Linked DNA regions of Schizosaccharomyces pombe. Changing the gene in region 2 together with the main gene of any one other region gives a genetic interaction. Each region holds a gene or a part of one and is shown on either strand. Other genes may lie near its edges.

Region 1 (6,883 bases), on a different chromosome or scaffold from region 2:
TAATTTTGCAAAACACGTAACTCACAGTCATCGGATTAGAAAGTAAAGCCCGAGGCCGAGCAAAACCCGCGCAACTACTACAATTTTTTTCTCCCATTACTCGTTGTGATGTATTCTATACTGTCTCATCTACATCCCCACTACTTCATTGATTAAATTGCGTACAGTTGATATAATTTGTAAATGATCGTATAATCTGTTTTACGTTAACTAAATTTTTTCATTTCTACATCTCCTTCCTCATCCTAATTAATGAATTATAGGCTGTATGTTAAAGTTCACTATTCCTTGTTCAAGTATAGCAAACCTTTAAAAATCAAATTTTATCATACAAAATATATACATATAAATAATAATTTTTTGAATCAAACAAAACAAAAAAATTACAGTCAACTTATTTATATAGACAAACAACATTCTTATTACAACCAAGAATTAAAAAAATGACTTATTTTCGCAACTATATATAACAGCAACTCTCATAAACAACTAGAACACGTCCAATTTGGAGCCGTCAACAAAACTGAATTACAGCAAACGAAAGCTCACAATAGAAAATGAACAAAAAACATTCCGAAGAGAGGGTAAATTAGAATAAAATACTTTCGGAAGATAACAAAATAGTCTCCCTAATTAGAGCGGAGTGAACGTTCAGTTTAATAATCCGTTAACAAAAACCCATATCGCGTAATTGGATTGATTCACATATATGGCTAGGTTTGATTTATGCTAAGACAGCAGACATTGTATAGATTTTTTTTAAAAACTTTTTTCCAGGCATAAGCATTGCCCTCTATCTTTTGCTTGTGAGCAACAGATATGTCGTATAAATACTGAAGAGAGAAAAGTTTGCATGCGCCTTTCCTTAAATGCCTTCACCAAGACGGCAAGTAGGATTGTAGACAATATCATCATTAGCAGCGCTGTCATCATAAAGACCGCTCCAGCAGTAGTTATAGTAGCATTGTTGGCACTCGGGGCTAGCAGTGATGTTGTTACGCTCCAAAGTACGCTTAACAACGGCACAGGCAAAACATTGACCAAAGTAGGTGTCATTGTCAACGGTAGAGGAAATAAGGCCGTTGGTAAGAAGTTGTTGAATCATGTCTTCAGTGTAGTAGGTGCGATCAGTGGAAATGTTAGTGAAGTAGTTGTAAGGAACGTTGGGAAGATAGATAACCAAAGGAGGAGTGTCACGGGTAACAGTGTGGTTACCAGCAGTGGTGTTACGACCATCACAACCAAAGAAGACAGGGCGATCGTTGAAGTGAAGACTGACAAAGGATTGTTGGCTAGGAACGTAGGGGAAACCCTTAACATTGGTGTTTCCGGCAGCTTGGGCAGCAACGACACGCTCATAAGTTTGGACAAGAGAGTTACCGTTGGGCCAGAGCCATTCACTGTCATCACCATTGTCAACGGCAACGATAACATCGACATCACGACCCTTTTGCAACAAAGGCCACAAAGGAATCTTCTCACCAGTAAGGAAGGTATCAACTAAGTTAAGGGAAGAGCTGGAACCCAAGTTGTTGGCAGCATCAGAATTAGCACTCTCAACACCTTGGAAGGGGTTGGGAATGGAGATGATTTGTTGACCGTTTTCAGAAAAGTTACCTTTCAAGTATTGTTGGATGATACGACCGTTCTTGGTAGAAGAGTCATTGAAGTTACGCATTATCTTGTTGAAGTAAGTAGAAGAAGCACCCATCATGAAACCAAAGTTGTCATAGTTGATAACGCAAGAACCATTGCTGCTAGCACCATTGTTTAAGGTAGTACCCAAGTATTCGGTAGGAATAAAGGAGTTGATTCCATGGTCAAAGGTACCGAAAACGTTGGGGGAAGCTTCAAAGAAAGTAGTGTTAACATTGCTAATATCCTCACCATAGTTTTGGGTAGCAAAGGTAATGATGGGGTAAGGGAAGTTGGCATTGCGGTACCATTCTTGGGAAGTAATACTAGACAAAGAGACATTAGGGAAACCATAAGTAGTGTCACCAAGGGTACGAGAAATCACACGTCCCCAGTAATCGGAAAGACTGATGTTAAAGCCAGCATTGGCCTTTTCGGCAACTTCATTCATAATAGAACTGTAGAAATGAGCGTTGAAAACAATAGCACTCTTGGGATACATCAAAGGGTGGTTGAAAGCCCAAAGTTTGCTAAAGTCGTTAATGGTACTGAAATTGTTGAGAGCAATGCCACCAACAGTCCAGGCACTACCATCAGTACCAACGAGATAGTCAGAGGCTTGAAGGAGACCAGTCAAAACAGTGTGGTTGTCGTGACGAGCATCCATGGCAGAGAGGGCACCAGAACCCAAAATCATGGCACGTAAACCACCACCGGACAAGGCAATACCGATAGAAGGACCTTCAGAGCCAGAAAGAGTATCGGCATTCAAACCAGGCAAGTTGGCGTTACGAAGGAAGTCCTTCATGGCAGTGTTGGTAATAGTAGAACGAGTGCTCAAGTATTCAGACTCGGCGCTAGGAATCTCATTGCTGGAGAGACTCTCGACAATGTTATCAGAGGGACAGTCCACATAATAAGGAGCGTAACTGGGTCCCTCTTGCTTAGTGCTATGCTTCTTGGCACGCTTGAAGACCTTGACAGAACCATCGTCTTCAGCAGCGGGAAGAGCAAGGGCAGAAAGGCAGGATGCCAAAAAGAGCATCCACAGGCTTAATCCGCGGAAAAGCATTTTGAATATTTAAACTAAAATGTTGAGAATAGATATGCAAAGATGTATGCAAATTAAATCCCCAAATGAACGTTCAAAGTTGGGAGTGGGACGGAAAGGGTATATAAGAAAAAAAATTTAATAAACGTCACACGAGTGTATTACTTTCCGAATGACACCCAATCAAGATCTCGGACTGATACTATTCCGTAAGTCGGAGAGGAAAAAGTGGTAAAGTAACAAAAACCTAGAATTTGCAAATAGTGGACGAAAACACAAACCCCACAATAGATAGAACTAAAGAAGGCAGGAAAACGGGACTAAAAACAAAATGAAAGAACCTGGCAAACGAAGTTTAATGCAAAGGTTCAAAATGAATAAAATCTTTTCCCTAAAGGATAAATAATAAATATTCAAAAGGAAGATGTAGGAAAGTGCTAAAAGTACAACGATTTAAAAAGTCCACGACGACCTTTTTTTGTTTGAGTGAGTAATAAGAAAGAGAAAATTAAAAAGGAATAACGACGAGAAAACCGGAAATCGCACCAAAGGATACACTAGGAAAGAAAAGTGTGATGATGATACGAGAAATTATGATGAAGGAATGAGGGAATCACTGAAAAAAGAAATTAAGCCAAATCACAGTGTTGGATCGTAAAATATGTTTTTGGATTCAACTAATGCGAAAACGCTCTCTAACCGAAAGAGTGTTAGTGTTTTCTTTTTTGGGGTATTTTTCAAAGAGCTAAGAAAAAGGGAGCAATCACAAGAAAGGAAAATGCAAAATTCCTCGCTTGGATGGATTAAGATTTAAATAAAAGTAAGGAAGATGATTAGGGATTCCAAAAAACGGAATTTTTTGTTTTGAAACAATGAACAGATCAAGGAAAGTTGTTTGATTGCGATGGTGGTGAAAATGCCTGTGCACCAGCACCACTTATATACCTGGGACCAGTCGCTCGGAACAAGGTTTCAGTGCATACAGTCTATAATTTTACATGGATTATACAAAGAAAAATAAAATAAATCATTTTATGTATTTTATTTTCAAGTTTTTGATTCTCATTTTTTTGACTTCAACTTGCATCTACCCCACAATCTTGACAGAATCCATGTCTGGGGCCCCGTGAGTACCGGCAACTGACCCTCTAAAAATTAGGAAGCAACTGCAACATTGGTCCAGAGCTGCGACGATGTATCCAAGCAACTGGAGTAATAGTGGGATAGAGTTATCATCAAAATAACGCTGCCCACAAGAAAGGATGGGATGTTTGTCTACTGGCAAAAGGTACACTGGGGAAAAATACAAACACTCTACTCACCGTTTAAACCCTTCTATACTACCGCTGGTCAGACAAGCTTCTAATTTTTTTACGGATTCTGTTGTAAATTGTTAGAATTCTTGTTTTTTCTTCGTTGTTCGTCAGTTTAACCCCGCCAAAACCCAAAAAAAAGTGTTTGAAACACTATTCTAAAGGTGTTCGCCCCTCACCATTCCGGTAAGAAATCAGGCAAGTATCCGCTCAAAAGTTTGGCGGGGAAGAAGGAAAAGAGCCTAAAGTCGGACGAACAAATGCGGGGTGGTGTAGAGGAACGCAGTCTAGAACAATGGAGGAACACATGCGCAGTGCAAAAATGTCTACCGCAAGAGCAAGAAAATTTTCGCACCAATTATTAGTTAAATGAGGAGCATCACATGAAAAAGTGGGACATATCCAATCACCTCTCAGTATTTTGTTCACTTTGCTCCCCTCGTTTTCCCATAGTGTGGAGAACATTCATGAAAACCAAACCTTCCGCCAATCAAATTACGGTTTGAAAAATTCTACGTTTCTATTCGCCGTCATTCGGAACAAGCGAGCTTCCACCTTTTACGTTGACATCATTGAAAAATGGAGATAATGGGGTTAAGGAAAGTGTGGGGCTAACCTTCCAAGTTACCTTTCCCTCCATGACGTGGAGTACATTTAGGCTCGTAAACTAACGTGCGTACGTTGGACTAGCTATGCTGCACGCTATTTGTCAAAAAAGGATTTGCAGCATGCGAGCGAAAGTCAACGAAGACGTGTATGCGAGGAAACCGGTGTGGAACAGTGTTCTAGGACTATACCTGAACAAAATTGTGGGGCAAGTTTATTTTCGCTTTTGCTAATGCCCTTTTTTTTTGGCAATTGCCTTGAGTAATGGACATTCAGTGTACTTTGTTTTATTTACAAGCTTAGGAAAAGCGAGCTGGTTAGGAGCACTAGTAAACACAAAGCACACTTTTAATTAAGCAATGTTATAAGTAATTAAAGTCTGTATATATTAAATATTTTCAAAGACAACTACTAATTCATTTTCAAATTATCTCTTTTCACATTTCTTTGTAAGAGCATACTGTGCGATGTTTTCGAGGGAAATTTATTGATTCTTTTTACTAGTGAGACTCTATCATTACGAAAAATATATAATAAACATTTCCTTTTTATTAAGTTCACGTATAAATTGTTTCTACTTTTATAATTAGCATCTCGTTTGACAAACAGTAATCATTGAAAACCACACAATACTTCATCTTATATGCAGGTGCGATTGACCACCATCGTAACAGCCAACCCTGCACAGCGAATATGCTCAAAGAAAAATAAGTTAACTTTCTTTTACTTTTTAATTTACTAAGATTATGGATTGCAAGGTTTCTAGCTTGTTGCAATCGGTATGAATAGCCAAAAACTATTAAGAATTCATACAAACCGATCTATTTTCGCCGAATACTATAAACGCTACTGCAGGTAAGTAAAAAAGTAAATAAATGTTATTTCAATAATTGGTCTCTCCTTTATATCTTTTCTTCAAAAAAAACAAAAAAATAAAAAAGAAAGAAAGAAAAGAAGAAAAAAAGCATGAGCCATTATGTTTATTCGTTTTACAAAATGCAATTGCCATTAAATAATATTTATGAATTATTAAGCACGGTAAGAATGAAAAAAACTTTATTGAAGTTAAAAAAAAAAAAAAAAAAACAATACAATAAAATAAAATAAAATATATATGAAAACACTTATAAATTATTAATTATTATTTTTTTTATATAGACAATAAATTTGGTCTATTCAACTTTTTAATTTATATTATTCCAATATCACCGACACATACTATCATTTAACAGACGGTTTGCAAATAGCATGTCTATTTACCAAAGATTCAAAATATCACTATCAAGTCAATAAGTATATCTTGTAAAACCGGGAAAATTCAAAATACTGTTAGCAATCATCAAACCAAAAAAAAAGCAAAACAAGTTGTATTGTAATAAAAAGAATAACACTAAAGAACCAGTTTGGGAACATGAAACTTTTCAATTTTTTATGTACTATGTACAATAGATAACCAATAAATACAAAAAACAAAACAAAACTGAAAACTCGGGGTATTTAAAAATTATTTTAAACTTTTAGACCTTTTTATTAACCGAGTATATGCAGCTGCGATTAAAATCTCTATTGCACAATGGTTCCGAGTAACTGGAACTTTTGTCCATGTTCCACGTTTGCCCCTCGTTGCTGCATCTAAAAGAAATGAAGGAGTTGGATTTTTAATGACTTTATTCACTTCACGGTAATTCAATCTGGGGATAATTGTAATATCTCCAGAATATTTCTGGGTGATTACAGATTGAAGCTTCGTGAATAATACCGAAAAAATGCCTAGTTCTGCAAACAAACGAAATGTCAAGCTAACTTCCTGAGCAGCCAAATCAATTGCCTTCTTACAACAGCGCTCAACCCAATTATGAGATGTTGGATCCATAATAAACGGAACGATGTGAAAGTTGACTTGTGATACGATAAAATGATTAACATGGAACAGCTCCGTTAGTTTAGCATGCGGAATGTCATTATCAACAGATCCGTCCATCCATAACGGAGCATCTGTTACACAAAATGCCGATACTTCTCTTGTTAAAGGGTCTCTTTCCCACAAAGTAGCTCGTTTGAATAAAAAGGGAACAGAGCACGTTGCGACACTAAAAGGGCTTATTAGAATGGCGAACTTAAGGCACTGATAAATAAACTTACACCGCACTCCACACTAAAACATTTGGAGCAGTAATGTAGTTAAGTAAACTGGGCATCTCAAACAGGCTTCCACAAGACACAGTAACATTTAAAATATATCCTGAACGATCATATGCCTCTTGGAAAGTGAAATCTC
Region 2 (6,586 bases):
AAAAAAAAAGTGTAGCTAGCGAGATATTGGCTCTGTATGCATAATGCAAAAAAAAGAGCACCAGTGATATGGTTTCCTTGCTGCATAATCAAGTATGCGCTATTCGTTAAGCAAAAATTCTATTGAAATCGTAAGTATGCGAAAGTATTTAGAGTCTTTTCTTTGCATGAACATTCTGATTACATTGGTTACAATTATAAGTGACTATTATTTACGTGCACATAAGCACTTATAATATTATATTGTTACTAACAATAAGAGATAAAATAACAACTCTTATATAATAATGAATTGAATTAATTAATTAAAAATATATTCACATTGAAAAAATTCAATACGAAAAAAATAAAATAAAATAAAATAACTAAGGAAAGACATAAAACGAATGAAAAACATGGAAAATGCTGATCAAGTTAAACTAAATACATAATATTACTCATAAACAATTTATCATTACAGTGCATATTCAAGCGATCAAAGGTTGCGATACTTGAATAGTCGAACAGGGATAACGAAAATTTTTTCCCAAACTATTAATCACGCAGGGAAATTTTCAAAAACTAGCTGAAATCCTTGTTTTTGTAAAGAATAAAACAAACGAATCTTCAATTCGAGTCATATCCAATGGATTGTTGCAATTTGCAATGAGTGCTTTTCTTAAAAAAATTGCGAGACGTGTTAAACTCCTAAGTAAGCATTCAAAAACACTTCCAAAAATCCATAAGGGTAGTCAAGCAATCATCGAAAAGGACATATTTGCTTATTTTTTTTTCTAAAGTGCTTTCAACTGATTTTTTCGGAGGCAAAACTCAAAATCGGCAAAAACACGGATTATTAAGGAGCGGAAGAAACATTAAGCATTTTTTTTCGTAAAAAAGATTGATTCACCGGATGATTTACTCTTGAAAACAGTAAAATAGAAATGTCGTTGGCTTATACCAAGAAGTCTTCAATCCACTCATATTGCCCCATATGAGGATTCCAACGGCGATTTTTCATAGCATATTGCTCTTCATCGCTACTCCAACCTTCAGCTCCAGCAATGCTAGCAGGAACCGAGCTCTTGTAGAGTTTGTCATTCTTCTCTTCTGTTTGGGGTAAATAAGGGAGAGCATTTGCATTTAATGGATACTCAACACCTTCCCCAATAGAATTGGGAAAAGGAAGTAACCAAAGAAATGGGGATTTCCCCATAATCTGGCACCAATTTTCGTACCAGCCGACATTGAACGGTTGAGTGGAATGCGTATATCGACTCCATGAAGAGCTCATGGATTCCAAAGTGCTTAAATTATGAATGAGCAATGATGTATGATAAAAAGTAAAGGCAGTCATAACAATGCTCATTCCAACAGCAAAAGCAAACAGAAAGCCCCAGAACACTAAATAAATAGCACTAATATTCGCTCCTTCGGCTGTGAAAGTTTTGGTGATGGCAACAAAAGTTGAATAAAGAACGCAGATGGAGTAGAGATTTAAGTAGAAGCACTCCAGGAAGAAAAACTTGTGGTTACGGAATCCAACACAATTTTTAAACCACATGCAATGATGGTCCATTCGAAGAATGCACTTATTACATTGCGAGCAATGATGAGATCGATCGCATTTGTATTCTTGACATTTTTCGCAAAATCGAGATTTTCCATTCTGTAATGTCATATATTGCCTAGTAGAATTCGGATCAAACGAGGTCTCCTGAAACAGAAGAGTTAGTTTCCTGTTTTAATAATACTCACATAATATTTATACTAAAGGAAATTGACGTACCGATGGAGAGCCTGGTGGTGTAAGATTAGTAAGGACATAACATGTTACGATCATAATGTACAAAAACAAAATGATGATCCCTACACGATTTTTATTGATTTTGTAAATTCCCCAAGCAAGCCATTGAACACCACTCATCAACGAAAGCGCAATTATTTGCATACAATACTTTGCAAGAATTACCAAGACACATTGACATATAGTTGATACTTTATGAATCAGATTCATAGTTTTTATAACTTCTATCAAAATTATCAATAATTATTATAATAATCAGATTGTCCCTTAATAAACCTCTTACATGTGATTGCAATTTTTTTTCGATGAAAGGAGTGTTTGGCTGTGGCTAGGATGTTAGTCATCCGTAACAGCAGGCTTTCTTCTTACGAAATGACTAGCACATAGTACTTTAAACAAATTACATATAGCAGAAAAATGTTTTCAAATAATTATAAATTTCTAATTTTAAACTGGTTCAGATTACTAATTTAATACCCGGGGTTTGTAAATTTTTTTTGACTTGATAATGTAAATAAAGACACGTATCATCAATCGAGTCAGATAACCCAATTAGTTATAGAATATGTAATTTACCTTAATTTTTTAATAATCTGATTGATATTATTTTTGATCAATTTATGATTCTGTGCGAATTTGATATTTTCATTAATACATAACGATGTTAGCCAAATCCGAATTTTAAAAGTTGTTTGTAAAGTGTTTGTATACATTCTTTTGATAGAAAGAATTTATCCATCCCCCAGAACGCAACAAACAATATTGGCCAACAATGGTCTCATACAAGTGAGGCCGCGTAGTGAAACGTTTGAAAATCGTATTGTTCCAACTACAATCCCAACAAAAATGTCGAAAATTTGTAAGACTCGATTTTTTATAGATCTCAGTTATTAACAAAGTTAAAAATAGTAAAAATACAATATTTAAAACTATACAATGTTATCTCCTGCTTTCTTTGGATGAGCGTTTTGCTTCGTACAGGATTGATATGGGGAATAACCAAAGATACAGCCGTAGTTTTTCATGAAACAAATACTTTAGTTCGCTGGGTACAAACTCTGGCAATAGCTGAAGTATTCCACAGTATATTTGGACTAGTATCTTCTTCTCCTTTAACAACAATCATTCAAGTTGCATCTCGACTTTACCTTGTTTGGGGTGTGTGCTATCCATTTTCATATGTTATTGAGGGATCTCCTATATACTTAAGTATGATCATCGCTTGGTCCATTACCGAAATAATTCGTTATGCATTTTATGCATTCAACCTGAACGGCGACATCCCTGCTTTCTTAACATGGCTTCGCTATAATACCTTCCTAATCCTCTATCCCATCGGTGCTGGAAGTGAATTTCTTTTAGTATTGAAAAGTAGGATTGCTGCTCAGTACGTCTGGAGTTTGAACAAGCTGCTTTGGCCCATCTTGATGTCTATTTATCCACCTGGTAAGTTGAGTGAAACCCAGCTTTTCTTCCAAAATCTTTATTAACTTTCTAGGTCTTTACATTATGTATACACATATGCTTGCTCAACGTCGAAAGATTTCCAAGCGGGCTGCTGCCAGAAGAACCTAATTTTTTTTTCTAAGCTAAAATAAGTTAGGTTTATTATTCTGTAGTATCGGATATTACATATTATTCAATTTTTTACTTAACTTTTGCATTCGTATAGCATATAAAGATTTATGTTGTAAATATGTATTTTAACAACACAAAATAGTGGTAATAGCATTTGTCACTATAGATAAGTCGAAGGTATCACTCCGATAAACAGCAGCTACATAAACGTACTTCGAAAAGATGTAAAAAGAGCTTATTCACAATATCTCTTACTACTTACAATGCAATGTAGAAACACGTGCGTCCATTAATTTATTGAATATTTAAAAAATCATTACGTTTTTCAACTTTAAAGCAACAGTAGAAATGAATTTTTCATTACTTAAATCACCAAATCTATTATCCTTTTTCATACGGTTCTTTTATCGTCGTCCACGTGTAGGTAAAGGAACACTTCTGCCAGGGCCAACTTTGAACATAGGAGCATTCCTTGTTTAAAAACGTTAAAATTATGATTAAACCAACCACTTAAAAATTCTTACCTAAGCATATCAGGAACGATGAGAAAACGAATGTGTGAACCACGAATGTAAACTTGATCCAAATGAGAAACACGACCATCTCGAGCAGTTACACTGATATCTCTCATTTGACAATTCATATTATCTTCCGCTAATTAGTGTAAGTAAACCATAACAAAATAGAAATCGTTTTAAAATGAATATACCTTCAATTAACTTTCCACGATACGTAGACCCATTTTCCAACTCCATCGTAACGATATGGCCTAAAAATTAGTTTTACTAAAAAAAAATTGGGTAAAAAATCGTACCTTGGGTCTCATGAAGCAACTTAATACACAGAGACATGGTCGATGGTGGTGTACTGTGTGAGTAGCTGGCACTATGAAAAATTCCAGTGTTTAGTTGGTTTGCGCACCACCAACTATTCTTTTTCCATAAAATTGGAATTGAAAGAAGAATAGGTATCTCTTAAACTTATTTATTTATACGGATAATTTTTTTGAAAGTACTTTGTGGACCTTCATTTCGAAAAACAATAGAAAAATCTAAAAAAATGCAGAACACGGCTCTAGACAATTCAGCCGACTCAAAATGTTCCAAATGCGATAATAAGGCAACAGTTCTGACTAAATCAGATGCGGTCTGCGATTCATGCTTTGTCAGAAGAATTGAGAACAAAATTCGTCGGCAATTTGAGCTTGTACGACCCAATTTACAAGGACGCAAATCTAAAAGAGCAATGCTGGCTATTTCCGGTGGTATATCTTCAATGGCAATGCTTGAAACAGCCAATTATTTATCAAAATATCGAGATGATAATTACCGGCCTATGTTTGATGAATTGCTTGCAGTTCATTTTCAGTGGGGAACGGATTCAGCTGTTGCAAAAACGATTGAGGAAAGTATTTCCAAAAATTATCCTAAATGTCCATTCAAAGTTATTGGTGAAGCTGAGTTATTGAACCGTACCATTGCTACAGACTCACGAGGAAATATAGAAATAAACGCAGATAATGAGAAATTTAATCCAGAAGTCATTAGTTCGTTAGCCTCGCGTCAAGATTTACTTTACCGAATTCGGGATAAGCTTTTAGTATCCTATGCCCGGAAGGCAAATTGTGATACCATTGTTTTTGGTGATAGCGGTACTACAATTGCTGCAAGAGTTCTTGAACTTGTGGCAGAGGGTCGAGGTTTTGCGATACCATGGTACACTTCTGTCTGCTCTAAGCTTCCAAATTGCGATACTTTCCTACTACGTCCCCTACGTGAAGTTTTGTCTTCAGACCTCAAGTCGTATATGAACATTAAGGGATTAGCTTTCTGCGATAGCTTAATTGAAGCACGTCCTAATACTATTCATGGCGTTACAGAATCATATTTCTCATCGCTGAATGATACATTCCCAAGTCTGGTTAGCACCGTTGTCAAAATGAGCTCAAAATTGCATGTGCCTTCTACAGAAGCCATATGTACCATCTGTAATCTACCAATGCAAGAAGATGCTGAGACTTGGTTACAAAAAACTACGGTTGAACATCCGGATTCCGTTGAAGGTATTAAGAATCAAAATGTTTGCTATGGCTGTTCTGTTTCTTTAAAAAGCTTAAAAGGGACGTTGCATATTCCTGATATTGAAAAAGAAGGGATTTGATACATCTGTACACTTACTACCTGGTTAACTAGAGTATTTATGGGAAGATAAATTTGGATAGGGTTTTGTATTTCGGACAAAAAGGTTAGACATAATAACATAACGAAAATGATTAAATTGAATTTTCTTTTTTTTGTATGAAATAATAAGTAGTTTGTAGAGGAATCTAAGGGGACTTTTTCTTATAAATTTCATGGGGCTTTGCTTGATCGGAAAATGGACTCCAAATACCACGAACGGATGGGTTTGTTGACTCAACAGGATATTTTATGAGGCGAGGTTTCAAACCATCACTATCTCTGCATAGAATTGCTTTTTGAAATATTGAAGACGCTGACATTTTCCTTGTACAAATGACCTTCTCTCGACCAGTATCTATTATCGTAGCATTAGTAAAAAACACTATTTTAAGGAGTTCATATTTATAAAACTAAGAGGATCACCATAATAAGAGAAAAGTCTTGGACGTACTGTAATAAGCTCGGATTAATGGATGCTTGCCTTGGCGGTTTGTAACATGAAATTCCACATCTTGAGATTCTTTGGCCAAAGACTCAAGCTTTGTGGATAAAAATTCTTTCATGCCTTTTGAGCTTCCACCCCAATTACAATACGAAAACTCAATTCGACGGCACTAAAAAGAAAATTAGTAATACGAAGTTAATGAAGGCCAATCTTTTTTTTTTTTTTTTTTTTAAAAAAAAAGAAAGCTGATTAAATCTTACTGGGCGGGTAAATGAACCTAGTCCATTTTTGGGAATTGAAATTTTAGGAATGATTTCAATCATCATTAAGTGAGTAAAAGGCCGTAAAAAAGGGGATACCGTCTTTTAAAAACCAGAATTCTTAATATGCTATATTGAAAAAAGTTGGGTGAGCAAATCCTTGCAGAAATAATGAAAAGTCGGTATGGAGACGTAAAGGGGTGTGTGGAAATTCGCAAATCCCAAATTGCTCTAAACTTCAATACTTGTTCCAATTGATTTAGAATGTTAAACTTAGTATGCAATTAGTTTTATAAAAAATTTTAGCAACAAAATCAAGTTTACTGTCTACCTACAGT
Region 3 (6,883 bases), on a different chromosome or scaffold from region 2:
TTCTTCGTATGAATTGCCAAAAGTTCCTTCCAAATTTCTTCGAAAAAGGGCAACTCTCAAAAATGTTTTTCTGCTTTCCAGATCCTCACTTCAAGGCTCGTAAACATAAAAATAGAATTATCACAAGTACTTTGGCAAGTGAGTATGCTTATTTCATTCGACCCCATGGAACGCTTTATACCATTACAGACGTGGAAGAGCTACATGTTTGGATGGCTCAACATCTCGACGCGCATCCCTTGTTTCGACGATTCACAAAAGAAGAAGAAGAAAACGATATATGTGTTACATTGATGACAAACGAAACAGAGGAAGGGAAAAAGGTTGCACGTAATGGCGGAAAGAAATTTGTTGCATGTTATGAGCGCATTCCAAATCCAAAATAACTTAATAATTGGGCTGAATAATATAGGTTTAAAATAACTAAATTAACATTTATCGCTAACATCATTACACTTTCGCATTGACTTACTGTTTAACTACTCATTTACAAAATCCGTACCTATCCTCAAGCTGGCTCCGTAAATAAGAGAGCTCTTTGCAACTATCCTTTTAACTCCATGGCAATATATTATGAATGCTAAATAAAACAAGAAATCTAGTAAATTTGCAAAAGGAGTAATTTTACATGTTAAGTGCCGAATTTTTGGGATTTTGAAATAAAATCAATTTGTACGGTAATATGACCTACAGCTCTCTTAAGTATTTTCAAGATACTATATTATTACTTGCTACATAATACTTCAATAACCTAAATGATCGAAATTTCAATAATTTTTAATGACTATTTGACATTCTTTAACAGTATACTAGGGCAGGGTTGTGACTGTCCAAGGATTATATAAGTAGAAGCTCATAACAAGAGGTGGTTTGTCAATTACAAAACAGAATGTAAGTAATTTCAACTTGAGTTTTAAAACGCTGAAACAATGTTAAAAATATTACTATGATGAGCAATTTGTGTCGCCCCTATCCGAAATCTGTGACGATTGACCCGGAAGCCAAATCCGATCTCTGAATATTTCTATTGTTTCAAGTGCTTTTCCATGAAATCTTATTATTTGAATAATTTACTAACTTTTTTTTACAGATTCTTATAAGCTTGAGCAAAATAAAATTAAATTCTTCTTTTTGACTCTTTAACCGTGTGTGTGTACTTTCATTTTTTTTTTATAAATTGCATCTTTTTGTAACGATTTGTTTTTGAATTTTAATTTGAAAAATGTTCCTTGCTAGTGATGTTTTTCTTTTATATTCTATGCTAATCATGAAATCTAATGATTATACTTTTATTTATAAAGACTGAAGCAAGCAATTTAGTATTTCAAAAATAAACAAGCAAAGAGGTTGTCGTATCTAAAAATTGAATGATTTTACGTGAGTTAGCTCATACGATGAAAGTATTTTTTTCTGTAATATCAGTATTGCATGATTGAGCTGTAGATTTCTGAGAACCAAGAATCAATAGCCGATGGCCGGTTTCATTATCATCTTTGTATATGATTAACACATTAGGATATTAGTAGAAAATGCTCAGACAATGACTGTAAGTGAATTTGGTGATTGACTACATGCACGATTGATCATTGCCTGTTAGGTCTAAAAGAGCAACACTCAAAACAGACTGGCATGTGGATTTAACCGTTGTCACATTCAAACTCCATTTGCAGTCACTATTGCTTCGAACAATACTTGAATTTTTCCATATGAAGTCAAAACATCGACATGAACAAAACTAGTAGCGTAGTCTAACGTATTGAAGAAAATTACCCTATTACATGTAACAGACTCTTCTGTTATCACAAATTCAGACATAATGAGAGACTGTTAGCAAACCTTATAAATTTGTTGGTTTTCGTTATCAATCAATAGCGTGTTTTTGAATAATAAGTTCTTACACTTAAAGTCGTACTTTGGGGTGCAGCAATTTTCAGCTGAACTAACATCTAAAACTTTTAGTTTGGTCGCAAACGGGATTCTTGGATAAAAATGTATGCTTTGTTAAGTGTCTACGATAAAACTGGCTTGTTAGAACTTGCCAAAGCGTTAACAAGCAAAGGCGTTAAGCTTTTGGGCAGTGGTGGTACTGCCAAGATGATCCGTGAGAGTGGAATGGAAGTCGCTGATGTATCTTCGATCACCAATGCTCCTGAGATCTTGGGTGGTCGTGTAAAGACCTTGCATCCTGCTGTCCATGGAGGCATTCTTGCTCGTGATATTCCTTCCGATGAAAAGGATCTCGTTGAACAAAGCATCGAGAAGATCGATATCGTGGTTTGCAATCTTTATCCCTTCCGTGAAACTATTGCCAAGCCTAACGTTACCATTCCTGAAGCTGTTGAGGAAATTGATATTGGTGGAGTTACTTTGTTGCGTGCCGCTGCAAAGAACCACGCTCGTGTAACCATTTTGAGCGATCCCGCTGATTATGCGACTTTCACTGATAAGTTTTTGTCAGACAAACTTACTCAAGATGACAGAAATACTTATGCTTTGAAGGCCTTTGCTTCTACTGCTTCTTACGATGCTGCCATCACTGATTACTTCCGCAAGCAATATGCTGCTGGCGTTGATCAATTGACTCTCCGTTATGGTGCTAATCCCCATCAATCTCCTGCCCAAGCCTTTATGGAACAAGGACCCCTTCCTTTCAAAGTTTTATGTGGTTCCCCTGGCTACATCAATCTTATGGACGCTTTGAACTCTTGGCCTTTGGTCAAAGAGCTTCGTGAAAACATCGGTATTCCTGCCGCTGCTTCCTTTAAGCATGTTTCTCCTGCCGGCGCTGCTGTTGGTCTACCCTTGTCTGATGTTGAAAAGAAGGTATACTTTGTTAGCGACATTACCGAGTTCACTCCTTTGGCTTGTGCTTATGCTAGAGCCCGTGGAGCTGACCGTATGTCTTCCTTTGGTGACTTTATTGCTCTCTCCGATACAGTTGATGTTTGCACTGCTCGTATTATCTCTCGTGAGGTTTCCGATGGTGTTATTGCACCCGGTTACGAGCCCGAAGCCTTGGAGTTGTTGAAGAAGAAGAAGGGTGGTAAATACTGTGTATTGCAAATGGACCCCAAGTATGTTCCCGCCGAAATTGAGACTCGCCAGGTCTACGGTATTAGCTTACAACAGCATCGCAACCATGCCAAGATTGACTTCAGCCTTTTTGAGAAAGTTGTTAGTAAGAACAAGGATTTACCCAAATCTGCTCTTATTGATTTGGTTATTGCTACCACTGCTCTTAAGTATACTCAAAGTAACTCTGTTTGCTATGCTAAGAATGGTATGGTTGTTGGACTTGGTGCTGGTCAACAATCCCGCATTCATTGCAACCGTTTGGCCGGTGATAAGGCTGATAACTGGTGGCTTCGTCATCACCCTAAAGTCTTGGGTATGCAATTTAAGAAGTCTGCTAAGCGTCCTGAGAAATCTAACGCTATTGACTTGTACGTCCTTGATGCCGTTCCTGCTGAAGGTAGTGAACGTGAGCAATGGGAGTCTGCATTCGAGACTATTCCCGAGCCTCTTACTAAAAAGGAGCGGGAGGAATTTTTGGCTACTTGCAAGGATGTTGTCTGTGCCAGTGATGCCTTCTTCCCCTTCCCTGACAACATCTATCGTCTTGCCCAAAGCGGTGTCAAATATGTTGCTGCACCTGGCGGTAGTGTCATGGATCAAGCTGTTCGCGACACTGCTAATGAGTTCAACATGGTCTTTTCCGAGATCCCCTTGCGTTTGTTCCACCATTAATCTTGTTTGTATACCTAATTTTTGACCACTATTACTATGGATATAATTTTTTTTGTTCTGTATATTTGATAGGTTTCCTCAGTTTATACCATCATTTAATAGAGGTATTACAATAAAGACTTCAACGTCTTTTACTTTTTTTGATTTAATATAAAAAAATTTGGCATCTTTTTTGTATCCTGAATTTTGAAAAGATTTCCGATACTCAAGGCATTTTATTTCAGTAATAGTAGGGAAAATATTTTTTATTGTTTAACACGAATGCAACAATTTTATTCGAAAGCTTGGAAATTCACAGCATAACGGGCTCAATAAAGCATTTTTGGTTGCTAAGCTAACATATGAAGTAGAAAGGAAAACGCCATCAAACCTGCTTTTTGGATGTGAGCTTCGCAGTAAACTGACTGAGTTAAACATGTTCTTGGGTGTTTGCAAATTTCTATTAAATTGATTGAGCGTATGTTTTTGCTGCAGTTGATTTGAAGCATAAAAAATCCGGTCAGGGAGGGACTCGAACCCTCGACCTCACGATTAACAGTCGTGCGCAATAACCAACTATGCTACCCGACCTTAGTTACTCACGAGCAAAATTAGTACTATTTAATGGTATTAAAAAGGATTTAATGACTTTAAAATTGTTTTTTTTTTAACCCCATTCTTGCTTGATATATTTCCCATCTTAAAGGGTTACATACTCTTATTCTTTTATCTTTCATTCGATTGTGATTGATTTACCATATCAATAATCATCTTACAAGACCGGAAACTATCAACTATCTGGACGTAAAGTGAAGCATAAAGAAGATGGCATAGAGGACGGAAGGGAATTTTTATTATTATTCCAAGAAACCATGCTAAAATCACGTTTAAACCCTACTCCCTACTAACTCAGTATCTACTGAGTAGCTTTCATAGGTCTCGAACCGAATGGGAAAGACCAACGCTTTCTACATTAGAGAAAGTGGTTCTCTAAAAAATATTTAAAAAAGTATTTCTTTCTTGTTGCTTTTCTTTTTGTTACAGCGAACAAGTGCTCCCTTTAAATAGCTTTTTTGTTTTCATCCTGCCAGTCCTTACAACAATCCCTTACCACTGTGCACCAATACAACCTAAAGTTGAATTTCTGTAACAGTAGGATTTACAAAAGTTCTTTTGATTCTTAATTAGTATACGAGATGTAGCACTTCTACACGATTACTGTGTCCATGTACTATATGGTTGTATGCCTCTCAAAATAAAGATGACATATTTTCAGACTACCTTTTTCAAAAAGAAGGCTTCTCAATTCTACTGCTACAATTTATTCGTACTATCATTTCTATTATTGAAATTTCTCTACCATACATTTTAATTTCACTTGACAAATAGCGATACGTTAATGAACGCTATTACTGAATATGTACGTCGCTGGTACCACTAACACGTATGCGTTAGGAAACGTGATTTTAACCAAAATCTGTATAGAGGACGACTTTACATCGTTCTAGTTTAACACCTTTCAGTTTAAGGAATTTTCTTGATGTATTCAAAAGAAAGAAGGCGTTTATTAGTTTGACTATTCGCTTGATGAAATGGACCCAGGAGTTTCATCGCATCTCAGAACTGCTAGCCTTGATGAAGCAAGAAGGCTTCCAGAGCTTGAGCGTGTTTTAAAATCCGGATGGTTGATAAAGAAAGGACATGCAACTTCTGTATGTATTCATTAACTTAGTTGTCTGAGTAATATTTACGATACGTTTGAGTGGAAAGGGATTTGGAGTATTCTTTAATTTTGTGAAGTGTACTTAGAAGTGAATGATACGTACTCTTAATTCTTTATTGTTCGCTTTTGATTTGGGGATATGATGATGCAAACAGCACCCTACAAGCACTTTGACCAATTGATTTTCAGAATATTCCAATTATTTGCTTCCCGTTTCAGAGTCAATATTTGCACTCATGGTTTTTTTTGTAGTGGATGCTAACAACCTAGACTAAAAAGCAATTATGGGCTGTTCTTCGCAGAGATCAGTTATCTTTTTACAAAGACGAAAAGGTTTGTGAATAAAATGTGCAAATTTCAACGACGCGCTAACAGTCTTCAAGGAGTACAAAACCAAATTTATTTTCCCTACTCAGGATATTTCAGCTGTTGCCTACTACAAAGAAAAATCACCAAAAAGTACGTTAGAATTTTTGATGTTTATATCTAATGTTTAGCTTTTTTCCTGTATTTAAATGAAAAGATAATTCGTCTCATTGCCACTTCAAATGAGGATGCTGAGGAATGGGTTCATGTTCTAAGATCCACAACGGGTTATAGGGCACCGTTTTCAAGACATCCTATCAGTTATATCCTTGCGAACTCTTCATCTCGAACCGAAAGCGAGCCTAACGTTCAGATCTCTGATACTGACTTCGACAATATTTCGACTGAACCTCGTAATCAAACGACTTCTCCTTTAGACTTGGAAACTGGTCAGGGTGACCATTTCTGTACTTCACTTTATGATTTGATACAGTTTGGAAAGTTGAGACCACCAGGTATCAATGAAGAAAATGCAAATTACCCCTTCAACCCACAAGAAGTTAATACGCTGAATAAGCACAGGCATTCGGCTTCCTTACAAAATCTCTATAAACTCTTGGATGAAAATAAAGTTCTTATGCAAGGAACCATTCACTGGCTACATGGAAATTTACATAGGTGGTCCAAGTGTTGGGCTGTTGTTCGTGGATATGGTATGACTATTTACAACACGAACCGAGAGTACAAACCTGTTAAAGTGATACCGATAGCCGACATTCAGGATGTTGCTGAAATAAACGTTCCGGAAAGCTCACACAAATACTTTTTTACCGTAATTACGCAAAACAAACCTATCGAATTTCGCGTTGATAACGAAGATTCACTTATACTCTGGGTTGCTGCACTTAAGACTTCTATTGACAAGGCCAATGGTACTTTTACTGCTTGTTAAAAATGGCTTTTCCATCAAAATATTTGGTGCATAATACGATTCCTCAGCTACTTTTCTAGCTACCTTCTTGTGATTTCCTTTCATAAGACTCCCCTTACCCTTCGTGTACATACGTGTTGATCCGTTCTGTTTCTATATGTTTTGACTATCTCGTTGTTTTTTTTTTGTCTAATAAT

What was found.
Region 1: mutations in pfa3 (region 2) and plb1 together harm fitness more than expected from each alone (negative genetic interaction), as found in Schizosaccharomyces pombe (one large-scale study listed by BioGRID).
Region 3: mutations in pfa3 (region 2) and opy1 together harm fitness more than expected from each alone (negative genetic interaction), as found in Schizosaccharomyces pombe (one large-scale study listed by BioGRID).

What each region holds. Positions count from the first base shown.
Region 1 is NC_003424.3:1,073,912-1,080,794, forward strand, and holds plb1 (lysophospholipase 1), read right to left. Parts: upstream 2,783-6,883; 5' UTR 2,708-2,782; coding exon 866-2,707; 3' UTR 420-865; downstream 1-419. Other genes in the region: ptl3 (triacylglycerol lipase), read right to left, coding at 6,110-6,695, 6,748-6,883. UniProt on the Schizosaccharomyces pombe protein: Catalyzes the release of fatty acids from lysophospholipids. Required for survival under high osmolarity, for normal osmotic stress-induced gene expression, and for nutrient-mediated repression of sexual differentiation.
Region 2 is NC_003423.3:1,699,810-1,706,395, reverse strand, and holds pfa3 (palmitoyltransferase Pfa3), read right to left. Parts: upstream 2,116-6,586; 5' UTR 1,996-2,115; coding exon 1,768-1,995; exon of another isoform or gene 1,696-1,767; coding exon 934-1,695; 3' UTR 869-933; downstream 1-868. Other genes in the region: phosphoprotein phosphatase Phs1, read left to right, coding at 2,632-2,644, 2,695-3,231, 3,284-3,360; Sm snRNP core protein Smd3, read right to left, coding at 3,768-3,834, 3,888-4,017, 4,073-4,132, 4,178-4,214; cytosolic thiouridylase subunit Ctu2, read left to right, coding at 4,423-5,523; mrpl51 (mitochondrial 54S ribosomal protein mL43), read right to left, coding at 5,690-5,898, 5,995-6,157, 6,249-6,314. UniProt on the Schizosaccharomyces pombe protein: Palmitoyltransferase specific for VAC8. Palmitoylates VAC8 at one or more of its N-terminal cysteine residues, which is required for its proper membrane localization.
Region 3 is NC_003421.2:944,696-951,578, reverse strand, and holds the start of opy1 (protein opy1), read left to right. Parts: upstream 1-5,194; 5' UTR 5,195-5,318; coding exon 5,319-5,438; exon of another isoform or gene 5,439-5,719; coding exon 5,720-5,782; exon of another isoform or gene 5,783-5,832; coding exon 5,833-5,908; exon of another isoform or gene 5,909-5,946; coding exon 5,947-6,707; 3' UTR 6,708-6,883. Other genes in the region: tRNA (guanine-N7-)-methyltransferase catalytic subunit Trm8, read left to right, coding at 1-386; ade10 (bifunctional IMP cyclohydrolase/phosphoribosylaminoimidazolecarboxamideformyltransferase), read left to right, coding at 1,990-3,747. UniProt on the Schizosaccharomyces pombe protein: Binds phosphatidylinositol 4,5-bisphosphate (PtdIns(4,5)P2/PIP2) at the cell membrane.